Linked DNA regions of Elephas maximus indicus. The protein of the gene in region 2 binds, or shares a complex with, the protein of the main gene of each other region. Links are inferred from orthologs where the notes say so. Each region holds a gene or a part of one and is shown on either strand. Other genes may lie near its edges.

Evidence for each region.
Region 1: the proteins of IL1A (region 2) and S100A13 are in contact, whole or in part, in an NMR structure (PDB 2L5X), measured with the Homo sapiens proteins. The link is inferred for Elephas maximus indicus from reciprocal best matches to the Homo sapiens genes IL1A and S100A13. Residues at the interface, in NP_000566.3 of Homo sapiens: Asn148, Gln150, Tyr151, Thr194, Ala195, Gln196, Asp197, Leu203, Leu204, Lys205, Glu206, Met207, Gly216, Ser217, Glu218, Thr219, Asn220, His239; in NP_001019381.1 of Homo sapiens: Met1, Arg25, Gln26, Glu27, Gly28, Arg29, Lys30, Asp31, Ser34, Asp68, Ser69, Glu70, Lys72, Phe73.

Annotation. Positions count from the first base shown.
Region 1 is NC_064821.1:191,470,313-191,480,782, forward strand, and holds the start of S100A13 (protein S100-A13), read right to left. Parts: upstream 4,851-10,470; 5' UTR 4,715-4,850; intron 4,507-4,714; exon of another isoform or gene 4,159-4,506; intron 3,736-4,158; 5' UTR 3,696-3,735; coding exon 3,543-3,695; intron 1-3,542. Other genes in the region: S100A1 (protein S100-A1), read left to right, coding at 7,773-7,913, 8,939-9,082. UniProt on the Homo sapiens protein: Plays a role in the export of proteins that lack a signal peptide and are secreted by an alternative pathway. Binds two calcium ions per subunit. Binds one copper ion. Binding of one copper ion does not interfere with calcium binding.
Region 2 is NC_064835.1:42,083,543-42,093,509, reverse strand, and holds the start of IL1A (interleukin-1 alpha), read left to right. Parts: upstream 1-5,993; coding exon 5,994-6,040; intron 6,041-7,011; coding exon 7,012-7,060; intron 7,061-7,963; coding exon 7,964-8,186; intron 8,187-9,964; coding exon 9,965-9,967. UniProt on the Homo sapiens protein: Cytokine constitutively present intracellularly in nearly all resting non-hematopoietic cells that plays an important role in inflammation and bridges the innate and adaptive immune systems.

The sequences.
Region 1 (10,470 bases), on a different chromosome or scaffold from region 2:
AGGAAAGAAAAAAGGAATGAGGGAGGAGGAGAAGAGGCCGATCACATAGGGCCTTGTGGATCACAGAAGGGACCTTCAATGTGTAAGAGAAGTCCCAGGGTTTAGAGCAGAGGAATGACATGATCTGATTTACGATTTAAAAGGAAAATTCTGGCTGCAGGCTAGAGTACAGATTCTGGGGGACCAAGGGTGAAAGCAGGGAAACCATTTACGAAGCTATCATAATAGGGCAGGTGGTGGAAGACTGCTAAGACATGATTGAATTCAAGTATTTTGATAGTAGAGCCTACAGGGTTTGTTGATAGACTGGCTGAAAGGTGTGAGGTATGGGAAAAGGAAAAGGAGACTCCAAAGCTTTTGATCTGAAGAAATGGGGGAATTGTGGAGCCACATGCTGAGATGGGGAGAGGAGCAAGTTGCAGAGGCATATGGTGGGAAATACGGTTCTGCCTTGGACATGTTTGGTTTGAGATGCCTACTAGGGACCTAAGAGGAGATGTCAAAGTAGACAGTTGGATGTGTAAGTCTGGACTCCAGAGAAGAGTTCTGAGACAGACTATAAATTTGGGACTCATCACTATATAAAACCAAAACCAAATCCAAATCTGTTGCCCTTGAGTCGATTCCAACTAAGAATGACCCTATAGGACAGAACTGCCCCATAGGGTTTCCTGTGGCTGATAGATTTGAACTGGTGACCTTTTGAATAGCAGTAGAGCTATTAACCACTGTGCCACCAGGGATCCTTGATCATCAGCATATAGATGGTGCTTAAAGCTATAGGATCACCAAGGGAGTGAATGTAGATAAAGGAGTAAACAGGTCTAAGAACTGAGCCTGGAGGCACACCAACATTCAGAGATTGGAAAAAGGAGGTTCTTAGACTTTATTCAATGTGTAAAGCAAAGAAGACTAAGGAGGAGCAGCCACACAGATAGCAGGAAAACCAGGAGCACTTGTTATCTAGAAAACCAAGTGAAGAAAATGTTTCAACAATGTAAACAAGGAATATGAACTGATCATTTAGCAGTAAGGAGATCACTCATAATAGTAGCAAGAGAAGTTTCAGTGGCAGTGGGGTGGTGGGGATGAAAACCTGACTAGAATGGATGCAAGAAGAAATGGGGGATGGGGAGCAGACAGTGTCAGGAGAGGAGAGAGTGAAGGCCCTAAGTATAAATAACTCTCACTGCTTTTGAGGAATTCTGCTATAAAGGGGAGCAGAGATATAAGGCATAGCTCGAGGGGGTTATAGGGCCAAGGGAAGTTTTCTTTCTTTCTTTTTTTTTTAAGATGGGAGATATTACAGCATATGTGCAAGCTGATAAGAATGACCCATAGAGAGGAATCATTTAATGATGCAAGACAGAGAGGGAGAATAATTGCAAGAATAAAGTCTTTAAGTAGGCCAGAGGGGATGGGATCCAGGGCACCAGTGAAAGGGTTGGCCTTAGGAGCAGTGACAGATCCTTCATGGTAACAGGCAGAGCATGTGCTGATCAGGTTGCAGATTTGGGAGAGGGAGCACTGAGAAGTTTCTTGATTGCTCCTATTTTCTGTGTGAACTAAGAAGCAAAGTCATCAACCGAGAGAAGAAGAATGTGGAGGGGGAGGTACTGGACCCTAAGGAGAGAGGAAAGTTTTGAACTAACCATCTGAAAGAGCTGGTAAATGAAGTGATGAAAGAACTGTAGAATTGCCAAGGGTCCCCTCGGGGTTTGTGGTTATAGATTTAAGTGAGACAAGTCAGCATGGCTGTGTGTGTGTGTGTGTGTGTGCGTTTATTTGTTTGTTTTTTCCAGTCAGATTCACTCTACCAGTGCAGACTCAGGATGCTGGATTTAACCAGCATGTTAATCAGCAAGTTAATGTAGGTAGAGTGTTGGATTTAACCTGGGTGGTGCAAGCAGTTTGCGTTTTACTACTAACCTAAAGGTTAGCAATTCGAACTCACCCAGCAGCACTGCCAAAGAAAGGCCTGGTGGTCTGCCTCCATTAAGGTTATAGCCAAGAAAACTCTATGGAGCAGTTCTACTCTGTAACACATGGAGTCGCCATGAGTCAGACTCAACGAAACAGGGCAATGGGTTACAGGGATGCCACCAGACAAGCAGGACAGAAGGAGACAGAAGCAAGGAAGTTAAGGGAGTGATTATAAGAATGAACTTTAGAACTGGAGTTGAGTAAGAAGGTTAATAAGGACACAAGGGATGAGGATGAAAAAAGAAAAAAGGGTCAAGAGATTAGAGGTTCCAGTGGTATAAAGGAAATGCTGGGAGGAGGAAAAGAGGAATAGATTTGGAAAGTCAGGAGGTGGCAGTCAGAGAAAGGAAAGCTTGAAATTAAGATTGTGGAGGTGGCACATTTTTTTGGTAATAAGGTCTAAAGTCCGAACATAGAAATGGGATGCTGAGATGAAGGGCAGAATCTTTGGAATTTAGGTTTTGGATGAGTTGTCTGTGGGGATACTGAGGCCACCGAGAATAATGACAGAAGCAATCATGAGAAAAAGAACAGTAAGCCAGGGGCTGAAGTGCTATGAAGACTGCAATAAGAGAGATGGCAGGTAATACACGGGCTTCCAAAGAGCAAGGGTGCTTAGCAAGAAGGAGGAACTTAAATCTGGAAGCAGCAATGAAAAGCAAAGAGGTCTTCTCCTGTGTTCCCAGGCCCAGAGGGAGTTGGATGTGGAAGAAAAAAAAAAAGCCATTACTTGACAAGGCAACAGGGAATGCTGTACCTTCAGGCAAGAGCCAGATTTTCAGTAAGATGATGAGGAAAAAACTCTGAGAAGTCTAAGGATGAAGGGGATTTTGCCGGAGAAAAGACTATGAGTTTCAAACATTCATTTGTGTTTTTAAAAAATCCATATTCTCATACTTTTACATGCCTGGGAATTTTCAGAAAGGATGGAAGAGAAACTCAGCAGCCTGGAATGGTGTGCCAACCCAAAGGCAATGAAATTTAAGTCCTGACTCCTTTCTGTTAGTAGGAGAAAAGGAATGACCCTGTCAGGCACAATGTTGAGGGGATTTCCGTAGTGGGTGGAAAGTGATCATAGTTCCTCCTTATGAGCCCCTGATATACTGAGATTCTGTGACTCCATGAATTTGGCTGTTTTTACTTTTATTTTTGACAAGCCCCTTTGCACCATTGGACTTCAGTTTCCATATGTGTGAAGTGGGGAAGTTGGGCAATGTTTTCTCTTGACCTCCTTCTAGCTCTGATGACCTACGAATCTCCTGGAAGCCAGCCCTGGGCCCAGTCCTGTGTTGCGAAATGAGACCAGAGAGGCACAGACTAGACACAGGAAGCCAACAGTATGGTCTGAAGGGATCATGAAGCCCCGTAACACTCTCGCTTGCATAAACAGGTTTTTTAGTTACCTAGTTAGTTACACACACACACCCCAGGTAGGAAAATCAAGAACCATTTATCTGCACCCTTCCCCACAATCACACTTGTGCTCATACCATCATGTTCAACAATATCACCCACAACCACTGTCTCACAAAATCTTAGTCCTGCAGACCCTCACCTACCTTGAGCAGGTGAGGCAACTGCTGGGTGACCAGTTCCTTAAACTCATTGATGCTGAGGCTGTCCTTCCTGCCCTCCCGCCCTGCAAAGGTGAAAAAAGTGGTGACCACTGTCTCGATGGCGGTCTCCAGCTCAGTCAGTGGCTCTGCTGCCATGAGGACCCAGGGCCTGGAGCTGGTGTCCTGAGGGGCTGACCTGCAGGAGATGAAGGAGCAGAGGGAGAGTCAGGGAGACCAGGGGATCCAAGAATAGGCCAGAGGGTTCCCTGCCCTGGCTTTGCCACCTCAGGCTTCCACCCAGAAGGGGAATTATGTAGAAAAAGGAGAGGGCAGGAGACCAGGCAACATCATCTCAGTTGAGGTGGGTGATAGGAGGCATTTCAGCTCCAGAAACCCTTTCTTCTGTAGGTTTTGAATTCTAGGGGCCCTTTTTTAAGTGTTTGTGTCTTAGGGACCCTTCTGTGGTGGCCCCTCAGATTGGAGTCCCCTCTGTTGGAGGCTCTCAGTCTGGGGGTCCTTCTTTGGAGTTCTCTCAGTCTGGGGATCCCTCTGTGGAGTTCCCTCAGGCTGGCAGCCCTTCTGTGGGGTTTCAGTCCCAAGGGCCCTTTTGGAATCTCACCCAGCCTCAAAGGGTCATAAAGTTGTTTATTTCCGAAGCTTGTTTGTGTTCAGACGTGGGTCTCCACCCGCCTGCACTCCGCCACACACTCTGGCCGCTCTTTCCAACAGAGGAGCCCAGGGTCTGGCAAATGCCCAGCTGTGGTCAGGGCTGGCAAACCCGTCTTCATCATTTCCCCACTCCGCCTCCCTTCAGGCGCAAGTGCTGAAGCAGCTGGGCACAGGGCTGAGCCCTGGACCCCACAGACCGTCTCCTCTCCTGTTTCCGGTGACAGGGGTCCCCGATGGGACTCGCTGACTCCCCGCGCCCAGAAAGGGAGGGAGAGAGGGCTTCGGCACTCAAAGTCCTTGAGGGTAAGGGGGGCGGGCTGGAGGAAGGGGACATTCCCAAACGCCCCGCCTGTTCCCAACCACCGCCTGCGGGGAATGTTGCTTGATTTCCCTAAACCACTTCCTGAAATCCTATCTGAGCTGGCTCCGGGGAAGGGACCTGAGAGCCCGAGGAGGAAAGGGGTGTCCCAGGCTCTGCCCTGCAGGGTTAGAGGGACGCGACTCACCGGGGCAAGGAGATGGGGTGCAGCGAGCGGGAGCTGCCGGGCTGAGGTTTATAAGCGCCCGCGGAGGGAGGAGAGAGCCGCTCACAAGCCCAGAAGTGTCGAGTTTCCGTCGATGATTCGGAAGAAAGGGTACCGCCCAATCACGCCTCTGAGCTATGAAGCCTGGAACCTGGGCCCCCCGCAACCCAGCGCCACAGCGCCCCCACTTGGGGGAGGACGGGAGGACCTGCCGCGAGATGCCTGGATAGATCCCACCCAGCAGGGATCCTATACCTCCGAATACAGGGGGCCCCCCAACCTAGCCCCACCACACCCCACATCTAATCAGGAGTGTATAGGATGAGAGCGGAGAGGCAACTGCAGATTCAAATAACCAACCGAGGGAGCTCAGAGCTGAGAGACCCAACCTAAGCAATGCCACAGAGCGTCCCTCAGGAATCAAGATCCTCTCAGCGAACTCATGACTAAGACATCATAAAAAGGGCTCCAGGCCGAGACCCCCAGAGAGGAGGCCCTGGATTGAAGTCCCTCAGTGGAGTCTCAGACTGAAGCCCCTCAGGCAGACTCCTGGGACTAAATTACTCAGGGGACCCCCCAGTGAGACTTTATGGAGGAGCTTCAGTCTCAGACCTCCTCAAAGGGATCCTCCCCTTTCTCTGTCCAATGGGGCACAGCCAGCCACAGGGGCTGCCAGCTGAGCTGGGGTGAGACATCTCTGTCCCTCCCAGGGCCTCTTTTCCGTGGCCCCCTCGCCTTGCTGGTGCCTAGCAAGGGAGAAGGTGGGGGGGGCCGGCAGACCAAGGCTGGAGAAGAGGACACAAGGCAGCCTGTTCCAGCCCAGGAGACAGAGGGCGCCTCTGTTCGCTCCTGGCCCTTTGCCCCACTGGGTGTCTGTCTGTGAAGGGGTGGAGCCAGTGGGGGGGGGTCAGCGGGGGAAGGAGGACTGAAGACAGGTCTCCCGACACAGCTCTGGTAGCCACATTTGCAGACTCATCTGTCTGTCCAGAACCTGCTCCCACCTCAGGCCCAGGCTAACTGTGAGTATCCTGCCCCACCTGGGCTAGGGCCCTTCCCTGGCTAGCTTGGGGGAAAGGGGGTTTCAGGGGAGTTCTAGGAGTCTGGGGATGATGGCATTGTGGAGGACCGAGGGTCTGGGAGGAGATAGTGTGGTGGCAGTTTGGGATTTGGAGGAGACAAGATTGGGAAGGTGATGAGGCAGCCAAGTGAAGGTCAGAGGGAAATCTGGGAGCTCAACAGATGAGGAAACCAGTGGGGAACCTGTCAGCCCTGAGCAAGTTTCCGGGCCACTGGGCCTCCCAACAAGGAGCCCACAAGTCCCCTCCCAAGGCTCCCACAATCTCCCAGGTGCAGGCTTGGGGACCTGGTAGCCCCCACCTTGTTTCCAGTAGGGTAAGAATAAGAGAGCAAATAGAACAGCTGCTTCGGCCTGCCCCCCCCCCCCGCCACCCCCACCCAGCCTGCCAAGAGCTCAGGTCCCAGGAAGTCCCGGGGTGGCAGAGCATGGATGATGTGATACCAGAAGAGGGAGCACTACGGCACTGTACCTACCCCCCACTCTACCTGCACATGACCTCCCCTTTCTCGGCCCAGACCTCCAGACTCCTCTTTCCCCCAATTCTTTACTCTTTGTTTTCCCATCTGCCCTCCCCCCACCCGCCCACTCTGCAACCAGGTCCTCTCAGAACTGCCCCCCCACAAAATCCCAGGGTGCTCAAGAGCTCCAGGCAACCTCCAGGCACCCCTCCTGGATGGGGCAGGTAATCAAGCCCCAAAACCCCTCCCTCATACACCCCCTTATCCCTTCCATCAGCCCCAGCTTGGGTTCCCTCTCCTCCTGTGTCTCTGTGACAACCATTTCTCATGTCTGGAGTTCAGGTGACGCACACAAGGATTCCATTGAAGAGCTGGGATGTCATCTGATCAGGGCCCATTGTCCAGCCCCCCAGGCCTGGGGAAGGATGGGGACACCTGATCTGAGACATCTGAGCTGCCCCCTGAGACTGTGAAGGGGCTGATTGTCCTCCCAGGGCCAAGGGAAAGAGGCCCCCCTGGCTTGACAGGCTCCTCACCCCAGCCCTCTCCTCAATAGGCCCCTCCATTCTCCTCTCCCAGCCCCTTGAACTCAAAGGACCGCTCACCTTTAGCCCTTTATCTCCTCCAACACACACCATCCCCCATTCCCCCTGCTCCCACTGTCCCCACAGTGAGCAGGCTGGGCCTGGGGAGAGGGGTGATGAAAAGCAGCAGGGACAACAAGGCCCTACAGGTCTCCTTGCCCCTTTATGGAAGCCCTGGCTCTAGGGATAAAGGGTTAAGGCTCCCTTCCCACCACTCACCTGATGAAGGGGCTGATTCTACAGTGAAGTGAGAGGAGCCAAACTAGAGGTAATGGGAGGCATACCCCAGGGAAGCCAAAATGACATATTCAGGAGATAATGGAGTTGAGGCACCAAAAGGGTTCCCTAGGTTGCTGACAGGAAGCTCAGGGGCGGTGAGATCCTCCCCCAAGAAGTCTTGGGCCACTCACTCTGGCTGCTACCCCTCCATTCAGGCTCACTGAGGGCACCAGACTAACTCCTTGCTAGGGTTGGGGAGTGGAGTCAAGGTTGTGGAGAGGACCCCAGCCCACCACCTCCTACAAAAGAACTTGGCTGTGCTGCGCAGGCAATGCCCAGGATAAAAATAGAGCCTGGCCACATCCTGTGACCATTCCTGCCTGCCCCACCCTCCTCAGTCTCTGCCCAGGCAGCCAGGACCCACTGCAGCAGTCCTCTGCAGGACTTCAGAGCCAACCCAGCTCCATCTGCTCTATCTCCATGCCCAAACCCTGACTCCATCTGGTCTGGATTTAGGTCTGTTTGGGTTTTCCCCACATTGTAAAATCTCAAGGAAAGATAAATAGGTGTGGGGATCTGATCTCGTGGCTATTCTGGCCTCGGACCAGGCCTGAGGCCAGAACTCCCCTCACCCCAGCCCCAGACACCCTAGGCTTGGTCCCCAGCTCACTTCCATCTTGGGGGGTAGGTGAGCTGCCGAAATGGGCTCTGAGCTGGAGACTGCAATGGAGACCCTCATCAACGTGTTCCACGCCCACTCGGGCAAGGAGGGGGACAAGTACAAGCTGAGCAAGAAGGAGCTGAAAGAGCTGCTGCAGACTGAGCTCTCCGGCTTCCTGGACGTGAGCAAAGAGTGGGGGTACAGGGTGGAGTGGGCAAGGAGTGGGCACCTTTCTGCCATCTACTCATCCTACTCCCAGGTCAGCCCAACCATCTCTCTGCTCTCCCAGGCTCCTCTCCTGCGTTTTTCCAGGCTCCCCTGCTTTTCCTGGTTCAAGTCCAAATGCCCTGGTTTACTGAGCACCTGCTAAGTGCTAGGCCCTGTGTAGATCCATCAGCAACAAAGCTCACAGCCTAGAAGGGAAAGACTGACACTTGAAAGTTAACCATGAACTACGGGAAATATACGGAGCCTTAACAGGGGTCCCAAAAAGGTTTGTGGCAGAATATTAACCTGATTAGAGTGAGCCAGCTTCTCCAGACAGGTGACACTTGAGCCATGGATTTCCACTGGTAGATAAGTGGGGTAAATGTAGACAGCAGGTAACAGCATGAACAAAAGCATGGGAGACAGAAGAAGAATAGGGAACCTGCTCAGTAGTTTGACTGGAGTGCAACATACAGATAATTAGGCCGCAGATGCTAACAGGGGTCAGTAGTAAAGAAGAAGCCACAGGCACAGTAGAAAGTGCACAGGCTTTGAGGTTTGATTAGATCTAGGTTCAAATTCTAACCCCACCACTTTCTAGCTTTGTGACTTTGGGCACATTACTTAACCACTGACTGACAATTTTTTTCTTCTAAAATAGGAATAATGAAACTTACCTCATATTATTTTTCTTAAGATTTAAATCAGATAATGCGTGTAAACTCCTAGTGTATTGCTTGGCTCATTGTAGGCACTCAACGTTTGGTAATTTCTGCTAATACTATTTCTCTGCCATGTTAAGGAGCTTATTCTCTAGGCAACCAGTTCATAAATGTTTGTTACTTTTGAGGAGGGGAGCAGAGGAGCTCCATTGGATGTAGCTCTCCCTCTTGCTCACCTCTGTCTCCTTCTCCCCAATCAACTATTCCCTTAACACTGACTCAGTGCTAGGCCCCTATACTCCTTGTACACCTGCCCCTTCCTTTCCTCCCTTGGCAGGCCCAGAAGGATGCCGACGCTGTGGACAAGGTGATGAAGGAGCTAGATGAGAATGGAGACGGGGAGGTGGACTTCCAGGAGTATGTGGTGCTGGTGGCTGCCCTCACTGTGGCCTGTAACAACTTCTTCTGGGAGAGCAGCTGAGCAGGCAGCCCCAGTGAGCAGCGCCCTTCCCCTCTACAGTGCCGGACCTGCCCATTCACCCCACTTTCCCCTCACCCCACTTTTCCCTCCCCACATTCCCCATTCCCCATCAAGGGCGCAAGAGTAGCAGGTCAGGCCTGCAACTCCTCTCTCATTAAAGGCTTCTCTCTCGCCAGCCATCTGCTGTCTGTCTCCTCTGGGGTCCAGAAGTGGGTGGAGAAGTAAAGACTGCTCACTCAGGACTAGCCTTATTTGGGGAGGAGCCTTACTTGGGGAAGGGTCTTATTCGGAAAGAGGTCACTTGCATTACATCCTCCTACTTGAGGAATGCTCAAGGCCCAGCAATGTGGGGTTTTAGGGTTCCAGCTGTTAAGTGGAAGAGACATCAGCTTCTTGGCTATAAAGCCAGAAAAAGAATCTCCATTCAACATTAACCAGTATTTACTAAGGACCTACCAATGTGCTTAAGGAGGTGGCACAGCTACGGTTGCTAACCAAAAGGTCGGCAGTTCGAATCTGATTGGAAACCCTATGGGGCAATTCTACTCTGTCCTATAGGGTCCCTATGGTCGTGGTTTTTTTTAGGGAGTCCCTGGGTGGCATAAAGGTTAAAGCGCTTGACTACCAACTGAAAGGATAAAGATTAGAGTCCACTCAGAGGTGCCTCAAAAGAAAGTCCTGCTGATCTGCTTCTGAAAAATCAGCCATTGAAAACCTGTGGAGCACAGTTCTACTCTGACACACATGGGGTCGCCATGAGTCAGAAGGACTCAAGGCAACTGGTAACTGGTACCATGTGCCAGACATTGTGTAGGAACTTAGGATACAGCAGTGAACAAAACAAACACCATCCTTACTCTCACATGGCTAAAGTCCAGCAAGGATACCGGGCCATTAAAACACATACACACAAGTGCTAGGAAGAGAAATAAAAGAATCTGATGCATAAGTAAGGTGGAGGAAGGGTTGAAGATGTGTTCATTCACTCATGTCTCAAATATCTGAGCACTCTGTTGTGTATCCAGACATAAAAAAAGTCCCTTTATAGAACTGTGTCAAAATTCACATGGCTGGCAGGTGGAGAGGGAGGACATGAAAGGGTGAGCAGGGACGCAAAGATCTCCCCAAATAAGGACTAAGCAATATTCGGGCCAAATTGGGGACGGAAAGAAGTGGAGAGGTTAATACGGACGGGAAGCGGTGAATGGCGCAGGAACCGGGAAAGTGTTCTCAACTCCCAAAATAGGGAGAATGGGGTTGAGCGGACAGCCCGGCTCCGTGATCTGCAAGAGGTGGAGTAAAATTCCGCGGAAAGATTTTTAGACGGTCAGACTTAGACGGTCTATCTTAGGAGGGAAGGAGTAAACAAGGGGATACGAAAACATTTT
Region 2 (9,967 bases):
AGGGAGACAGGGAAGTGAACAAAGACATTGAACAGGTAACCTCCAAATCACCAGGTGGATATTGGGTAAGCATTACCTCTACTATAAATATGTTCCCTAGATATCAAGAAATCAAATACTAAAATGTTCAGAGTCTTCCAGTTGTATAAAAACATATATATATATATATAATTCTTGAAAAAAGAAAAACTAAAATCAAAAACACCAAAATATTAATAGTGATTATCTGGAGTCCCTGGGTGGTACAAATGGATAATGTGCTCAACTGTAACCAAAACGTTGGAGATTCAAGTCCAGCCAGACATGCCTCAGGAAAAAGGCCCAGAGATCTACCTTCAAAAAAATCAGTCATTGAAAATCCCGTATAGCACAATTAAGTCTGTTCTGACACACATGGGGTCGACGTGAGTGAAAGTTGACTCAACGGCTACCGGTACTGGTGTCTCTAGTTATTATTTGTGGGTTTTACTTTCTTCTGCATATCTTTATATAACCCTAGAAATATTTAATAAAACATGTATTAGAATCCAAAAAATAATAAGTTAAAAAAAAAAAAACAACTGAGAAACAAGTTTAGATCACAAATAACTATGACTCTAATGAGAAAAATAAAGGAAAAAAAAAAAGGAAAGGGGATTTCTAAAAAGTGCATTTCGGATCAGACAATCACAACACCCCAGGAAGAAGGAGAAGTGAGGGACAGGCATGGACATGGCTGTAACCACACAGGAAGCAGTCTGGCGAACTCTGATTTTGTCAAGAGCATCTGTGAAAGATGGGAAAAGGGCACGTACCCAAGGGAGGAGGCAAAGAGGGGACACAGTCCTGTAAAGCACCACTTCAAGAGAAGAGAGGAAGGGGATTTAGGAAGAAAAGTATATAAATTAGGGAACAAATGATTAATTAAAGATAGGAGAAGGAAACACTGCTCACTGGGGATTTGCTGACTGAATAGCAGGCTTCAACCTACGTGAACTTCACCACCTGCTCCCAGCCAAGGCAGCCCTCTGCTCTTCGAGCTCCCAGAGCACTTGCTGCCTCTGGTACACAAGCCAGAGTGAAGAGAGCAAGGCCAGTTTTCATGTACGCTTTGTGAATACATTCTCTTCACTCCGTGTAATTCCTATCCTTCGTCTACTGCTTTATAATCTAGAAATTGTTTTCACGCACAAGAGCGATCTTTTAAAAGTACAAAGCTGCTTATGTCACCCATACGTACAACCCTTGTGGTTGTTCTTGTTGTTATGTGCGGTCCCATTAAACTTTGGATAAAGACCTTAGCTGGGCCTACACGAGGCCCTGCCTGTCTGGTGCTTGCCTTCCTCTCCATCCTTATCTTGCCACCTCCTCTCACCCCCTGCTGCAGCCTCAATGGTGTACTTTCACTTCTTTGATCCCCATAACCTTTGCTCAGCCTGGAATATTCCCTCTTCCCTCCCCATTGTACTATCCATTCCCAGTCTAAGACCAGCTCCTCTGTGACATGACTTACTGTATTTGCTTGTCCATACATACTGTTTGGGGAGATTATTGATTAATGTCTTCACTGTCAGCTTCCATGAAAACAGGAACCATAGCTGGTTTTGCTTACTTGATGGGGTTTCATTGTTTTTAATTCCTTTTTTATTTACAGGTGAGGAGCCATATTAAAAAAAAAAAAATTTTTTTTTAGAAGAGATTATATCTTCACTTTTCCTCTGTTCACTGAAGAGCCAGTGTTAGTAGGTAATAAGATATTTTGAACTAGAAGTCAAGAAATAGTGAGCTTCAATTTTAGTTCTTGCTCTCATATGAATTCTTCATGTGACCATGGGGTAGTACGTCCTCCCTCTGAGACTATTTCCTCTTTTTTAAGAATTTGAACTTGATGGTATCTGAGGTGCGTCCTTCTCTAAAATATAATTCTAGGTCCTTCAATAGACTAACAACAGAAGGCAGAAGAATTAAACATTAATTTAAGGGAACAAAGGAAAGGAAGAGGCTACACTAAGGAAAAGAGAAGGCCTCCTGTTTGGTTGACTGCATACTAGCTCTGGTGTCTGAAACCCATTTCAGCAATTTGATAACTTTGTGATCCTGAGCAGATTGCTTAATCTCTCTGAACCTCGATATCCTCATCTATAAAATGTGATAAGAACACCTACCTCACAGGTAGGATCAGAGGATTAAATGAGATAATGTATTACAGCACCTGGAACACAGTAGACGATGTTGTGCCCTTTCCTCCCTCCCCTTCACCATCATAGAATTTAAAAGCAGATTATAATTAAATAGAGCATGAGTTGAGACTAAAGGCCCAATTGTCTCTGTAAGCAATGGCTTATGCATTGTTTATTCCTCTGAAGAGGCTTTATACCGCCCAAAAATTAATGAATGCATGTCCTGGAAATTCACAGAGAAAAGTCTTGTTTCTCTCTGCATTCAAGTGATTCTGTTAGATTCAATCATATGCAATGATTCTAAAGTTGGTCTAAAAATGTTTACAAGCATTTCCTGTCTTCCTGGTACAATGGCAAGAACAAGACTCGGGTTCCCATCCAGGCTCCACTCCTGACCATGTGCTCAATACCTTCCTCCTGTTCCTGTATGTCACAGAACAAAATGAGATTAGGGAAGAAAGGGAAATATATTTCAAATCTTCTCTTTTTTTATCTTTTTTTTTTTTTTTTAACAAGAGTCCAAAATCACCAAATAGAGTGTTTGAGGTGGGAAAGACCTTAAGAATGATCTGTTTCGGCCCTGTCACTTGGTATTGGTGGTGAGAAGAGACTCAGAAACCAGAGTTCAAGTACTGGTTCTGTCAGTTTTGTGATCTTAGATTAGTCACTTAACCTGTTCAAGGGTCCTCAGCAAAGAAAAATGGATAATAATAGCTACCTCTTACAGATGCAATGAGAAGTCAGTAAGGCATAGCAGTTAAGAGCTCTTTGTGAACTCTAAAGCAGTTTCAAATGAAAAGCATCATCATGATTCTTTGGACGTACCATCTCTCACCTGGTAAAGCATATCCACTAACTTGCCAACATCCATCATCTCATCTTGCATATCTAATTTTTTGAATCACGAAAGAAAAACACCGGTGCCTAACAAAATGCCTGGCATGGAATAAGTGCACAATAATTTTTTCTGAATGATTTTTGTAAAAATAACTCAAGAAGGGCTTTTCATGGTCTCCTGAGAGCCAAGAAGTATGTACATGAAGACACTGAGAGCTCCTGTCATAGGACAGCCCACCCCCTACATATCCTAGACTCCATTAGAGATACACCAAGTGTATTCTTCTCTCCACTCCTTAGAAAGATGTGGTCTTAGAGGTAAGCAAGGTTACTTACAGGTCAGCCTCCTTCACCCTCGTGCAAACAAGGCTCCCAAAAACAAAGCAAGGGCCTCTCCCACCCTGAACTTTATCCACCTTGTTTTTCCTTGAAAAACCAAGTCCAAGGAGGTCAAGTGAAGGAAAATGTTGGGAGATACCCCAACCTGAGTTAGCTTTCTAGAGAAAACTAAACTCTTTTTGAGAAACTCAACAACCACTTTTGGGGATTTCTTTACAGTGGAGGAGCGATAAAGGCCAGGACGGACGTTGCTGCTGATGGTGGAAGCAAGGGTGATTTCCTGGATTACCAAAAAGGTGGTATGCTTTGCTCCCACGGGCTAAATAAATGCCTTCAGGGATTCAATAATGACCTTCAACTGGAATTTTTCTCCCTGTTGAAGTTTTCAAGCTCATATTTTCCTAAGAACTATATCCTCTTCAGTGAACCAAGGCGTTACAACTGGAGCCATCATTAGTGTCATTATTTGTGTAGCAGCCCACATTCACAATGTGCTTTGAAATTGTTTCTTAATAATAGTCCTAACAAGATGCACCAGAGGCAGAGCGGGTGACTAGGATTAACATTTCTGTATTGCCTGAAGGGGAACTAAATGTGAAGAGTTGACTGTCATCCTTGTTCACCCAAGGGTCAATCCAAAGACACCCAAACTCTGTCTCAACTTGATCCTACATTTAGAGTACCTTCTTCCAGGGTGCCAGTTGTTTCTGTGGCTCTTGTTTATAACTATTACAACACCAAGTCTACAACCAGGAGGAACTGGGCTACTGAGAGAGTAAGCAACAGAATCAAAGATTTTTGCAGTTATAATAGACCTGATTGATCATCTAACCAAGTCCAATATTCTCAGTTAAACAGTCCCAGAGAGTTTACCAAACTCGCACAAACCACCCCACTTCCAGTTCTGTGATTTTTTTGCCTTTTTATATCATGTTTTATACCATATGTATCAAAGGCCTCACCTTTCTCTCTCTGCTTTTTCTCTCCTCTGCCCTTTTCTTCCATCCATTTACTTTACTTAAATTTGTGTGGTTCAAACTCCCACTAAGAAACCTGAAACATTCATCTGCTAAGCAGCCTGGTGTTTTATCACCTGAACTGGGCTGGCCTCAGGATACCAAAAAGCCTTTAATAGTAACAATGAGACATCACTGATGTAACCTCCCTCAGCCTCCTTTTGAGGTCCCTGAGTCCCCCAGTTCCCCGAGGATGTCCTGTTGGCTGCACTGCAGACTTGTAAGATACTGCTGCTGAGACCCCAGCCACTGGTCTCTGCCCAGGGTCTTACCCGCTCCTCCCCAAGGGTGCAGCTACCCTTACACACCATGGGTTGATCCTGGAGAAGCCCAGGCTTCTCTTTGGGTTCTGGCAGAGGCCTGCTTTGCTGAGACATGGCTAGGGCAGGGAGTTCTCTGTCACCTCTGTCAGAAATGAGTTGACAGTATTCAGAGGAGCAAAGGATTAAAACTTTTGTGGTCAAATATCACTTCTCTATTCTGCCTAACCAGGAGATCATCACCTCCTGCTCAGAGTGATTTATGTCTTATTTAAGCAAACCTCTCTCCAAGAAAGATGTGTCATCAGTTCCCTTTCAGCCTGCGCACAATAAACAAATGAAGCCAAGACACCCACTACAGCTACTAAGCCCCCTCCAACGCTAACCACTGTAACTTCCTCCCCTCACTGCATATTTTTAGAAGCTTAATACGTTTTCTGCTCTTCTTCCCTTTTTCTAAGACTGCATGTTTATAATTGTATAGAGCAAAGCAATAAGTCAATAAGCCTAGTGAATAAAAAAAAAGTCCTGGGATCTCTGCAAATAATTTGGCAATACCATCAACTATACAATCTGTCTTATTTTAGCCAGTATCAAGTTGATTCAAAAAGAATTCTCTCCTGTAAATTCCCTGGTGACGTAGTCATTGCCACACCTACTTAAGACAAGACAATTACAAAAGGCGAAGCAGCCTGACTCGGTCTTAGTTCTCCTGGCAGAGAAGGAATCACTTCATTGGCGCTCCAGTCGGCAAAGGTATCGTCCTTATCACGTGTTTCTCTTTTTAAATATTTTTTGTTTTTTTTCTTGGCTGCTGTCTCTCAAACTGCCTTCTATGAAGCAATAACCTCTCTCTTCCTTTCTTGTCCCTCCCTGGTTTGGGATGTGAGCGAGAATCACAGTCAGATCTCAGAAAATCTCTCATTCTGCTGGGGAACCCCAAGGACAGAGGAATTGGCTTCTTATGAGGGCGTTGGTGGGCACATCTGAGCCTTCCCTCTGAAGGAAATTTCTCTACCAAAAATTATCAGGAAAAGAGCTGGAAATTTCCACCTGTCTTTCTCTTACATCTGTGTAAGATAAATATCTCATTCTGGTGACTTTTAGTTCCCTCGATGCCTGCTATGTGCAGTGCATTGGGCTGGGCATGTAAGGGATACCAAGATAAATAAAACAGATTCTAAAAAGGCTACAGTCCAGTGAAGGAGGTAGGTATAAATAAAAACAGAGCGAGAGAGTGAACAAGAAGAATAGGGGAAATGCTGAGTGTGGGCTAAGTCAATTCAGTCAAGTCTCCCAAGAAACATAGAGTGGAGTTGGCTCCATCTGATTCAAAGGTTGGCTGAGCCGACAGCCAGTGTTCTCTGTTGCAGAAAATCAAGATGGCCAAAGTTCCTGACCTGTTTGAAGACCTGAAGGACTGTTACAGGTAAGAAATAGATTCTATCTCTTGTGATTTAACAAAGGGATCAAGTCTCATTAGAATCCCGCTAGGAGTTACGGTGACCAACATGGGGTCAGATCAGCAGAGAGTGTGGAGAACACTACTTCTGAATTCTGTGCAAGTTCAGCTGAAGACTCAGGGAAATCAAGCATCCAGCGTGTTAAACTGAGATTGCACTGACAGGGAGACAGTCATTTTAGAAAAATGATTTTTGAAGTCTACCGAGTTCTACACGAATTTCAACATCTACTTAAGCACAGCCCCAATTGAGCTCAATGCCCTGATACAGTAATGGGTTTTCATGGATGAGAAAGAAGCCATTCTCATGCAAACTTCTTATCCCAATCAGGATCAGGAGTTGGCTACACAGCAATTCGAGCTTGTGAATGCACACACACACTCAAACTTCATTCAGACATAGGAGAAAGATAAAGAAATAAAAAATTGAAATTACAGAACATTTTAAACACTTATGGCATTCTCACTACCTATAACATACACTAATACAAACTAGCCTATCAAAATGCTACCTGAATATTTTGCCAAATATAAATTATTAAATCTACTTTGTAGAACCCAGGAAAACAATGTGCAACATATGATTAAACATTTGGTTTAAAAAAATGGAGATGTTTCAAAAGTTTTTCTTTTCTCTTGAGGAACTTAACATTTTTTCCTGACGTTCAATAAAAACTCTTTAATTTGTTAGCCAAACCCAGTTTTTATAGATGAAGCACAGGTAAAGTCCAAGCCCTGTCCTGATTATTCCTAACTGCAAATTAGTACGGAATGAATTACTGTATGTATGTGTGTGTCTAGAAGTCCTTTAATTTTCAAAGATGACAGTAATGTCCAAGTGTGTGTGTTACCCAAAGCTAATGTGGTCATTAAAATAAGTTGCCCAGTGACCGTAGGGAAATAAACAGAATTACATTCTCATCATCTTGTTTTGACAGTGAAAATGAAGAATACAGTTCCAACAATGACACCCTCTCTCTGATTCAGGTAAGCAAATGATTGCAACTCCTAGGGCACTGGTATTTTTATACAGTAGTTTCTCACCAGGAGAGAATAATGACTTGGGCCGTCGATACTTTTGTTTTACATCCACTAAAGGTCCAGAAACTTGCATTTCTTCATTACAAGTGAGACCAGCTGCCTCTCTAAACTAACAGTTAATGGCATTCCTCATGCTCACCACCTTGCCCAGAACAGAGCAGAACTTTCCTGAAGCCACAAGGACCACAGCCTCCTGGGTCAGGCTTCATCAGAACATCAGTTATGCCATCCTGAAGCAGCCCCTTCAGGTCACTTCACTAGGTGTCTGTCTCCTAAAGTGAGGTTAGGTAGAGCCCTCCAAACATAATAGCCCATGAAGTAGAAGAAGCAGACCAATTGAAAGTGAGAAATCTGCAGCCACTCACCTGGAGTCCACAAGTAGGTGGGATAAGTTCTGCCGTGTGTATTTCTGGTACCGACTGCCAAAGCTGTTCTCAGAGGAACATTTCTAAAGCAGAGGTCAAGCAGAGATTACCATAACCTCCTGAGCAGGAACCAATTTGAAGACTACCACTCACGAAGATCGCTTGTTAACCTATTTTATTACAATATCTCAGTTGTGAGTCCTTGCACATGGATGACAAAGTCTCGCCCAAGAGATCACATCCTTTTAGGGACATCCTAGAAGAAAGAAAGGGAGGGAAGCAAGGAGGGAAGGGAGGAAGAAAGAGAAAAGCGAGGAAGGTAGGAGGGAGGGAAGGAGCAGGAGAAGACTGATGAAACATAGGTTACCCAAGACCAAAATGGAGACCCTTCTCACTAAGTCAGTTGGACAAGATTCCTACTGAAAAGTGTGTCATTCATTCCACAGCCATGGCAGCCTCTCAGTATCCATTTTCTTCTTTACAGAAATCCTTCTATGATGCAAACTATGGCCCACTTCAGGAGGTCTGCATGGATAAATTTATGTCACTGAGTACCTCTGAAACCTCTAAGATAGCCAAACCTGCCTTCAAGGAGAGTGTGGCAGTGGTGTCAGCCACAGGGAAGATTCTGAAGAAGAGACGACTAAGTTTAAATCAGCCCATCACTGATGAAGACCTGGAGGCCATTGCCAATGATCCAGAAGAAGGTAAGAGGTCAAGCCAATCATGTCCATTTTTAAATAAATAGGGACAATAGAGTATTAAGGGAAATAAAACTTAGAGTAGCAGAAGGGCAACCAGACCTTAGTCCAGTAACATAAGGAAGGAAAATTAATTTTTCTCCTTCTCTAAAGCAGAGACAGCAGCAGTGACCTGAGTGTAGAATACTTGCCCACAGGCTCATTTACTGATCGTATTATAAAGCTCGTGTGACTTTTAGCCTTTCAGGGGGAAAAGTAACTATATACTGTTAGTGGGTGACCACTTACAAGATATGTTCCTCCATTCACTAGTTATGCTCCCGTGGCCAAGTTATTAAACCTTTCTCTACTGTAAAATGGAGATAATCAGAGTTTTTACCTCACTGTATTATCATGAAGATTAAATGAGTGAACACCCCCCAACTCCTGGACTAGAATAATGCCTGGTGCATAGTACCCAAAAAAACCAAACCAAACCCATTGCCACTGAGTCGATTCCAACTCATAGCAACTCTATAGGACAGAGTAGAACTGCCCCATAGGGTTTCCAAGGAGCACCTGGTGGATTTGAACTGCCGACCTTTTAGTTAGCAGCCATAGTTCTTAACCACTGTGCCAACAGGTTTTCCTGGTAAGCACCCAAAAAATGTCAGCTATTATTATCGCAATTATTCCTTTGTTGTTATTACTACTACTACAGTTAATACTTCTATTAATACCACCAATACTACATTAATTTATTAATGCCTGAATTATATATAAACCTCACAATAACCCTACATTCTCATTTGACATGTGAGAAAAGTAAGCTCGGCGAGATAAGTGACCTGCCCAAAGACATGCAGCCTGTAAGTGGGAGAGTTCCAAATCAAATTCAGTTCTACCTGACTTAAAAAAAAAAAAATGATTTTTCTCTCATGCCTTTACTGTACAAGCCTCCACATGTAACATAAACCCATTATTCCTGTTTTTAAGATAACATCTAAACAAAAATGCATGTACACCTAGGAAGTTGAAAAATGCAAGAAAATATTTTTTTAAAAAAATCAAAATCACTCATACTACCACTCAAGAGTTTACCACTGCCAACACTATGGTATACTTCCTTAAAGTATTTTCTATACACATACACATACATAAACAAACGTGTTTGTTATTAGGATCACACTATATACAATTTTATATCTGGCCCTTTTCACGTAGCAACGTGTCAAGGACATTTTGGAGTGCCAATTTTTCAGCAGTGTAAGTGACGTGGCAATGAACATTTGTATCAACAAACCTTCATTTCCATCAGCATTTGTTTCCTAAGAAGAGATTCCCAGAAGCGGAATTACTCAGAGCTCTGAGGATTTGTGAAGCTATTGATACATACCACTTTCTAGAAAAGTAATAGACATTTAGACCTGCACCCTCAATGGCATATACAATTCTTAATCAATTCTTTTCTTTTTTTTCTGAGTACATTCATTTGAAAATATAGATGCGGAATACTTCTAGTCTTCCCGGTTACTTAGAAACCTCCCAACAAGCAAAAATAAGGAAGTTTCACAAATAATTTTGGGGGGGGATGGGGGCGAGGGGGAGATGATTGCCTGAGGAATCAAAGCTTAAAAACCACTTCTACTGCTGCCTGGGTAGTTTCACTTCTCTAACAGTTTCCCACCTGGACGGGAATATTCCTAATATCCCTCCCCCAGCTACTTTCTGCAATTACATGAGGGTATATACATCATCTATGTTTGCACCTAGACATTAATCTGAGCTTGTGGTAATGGTTTTAGAAA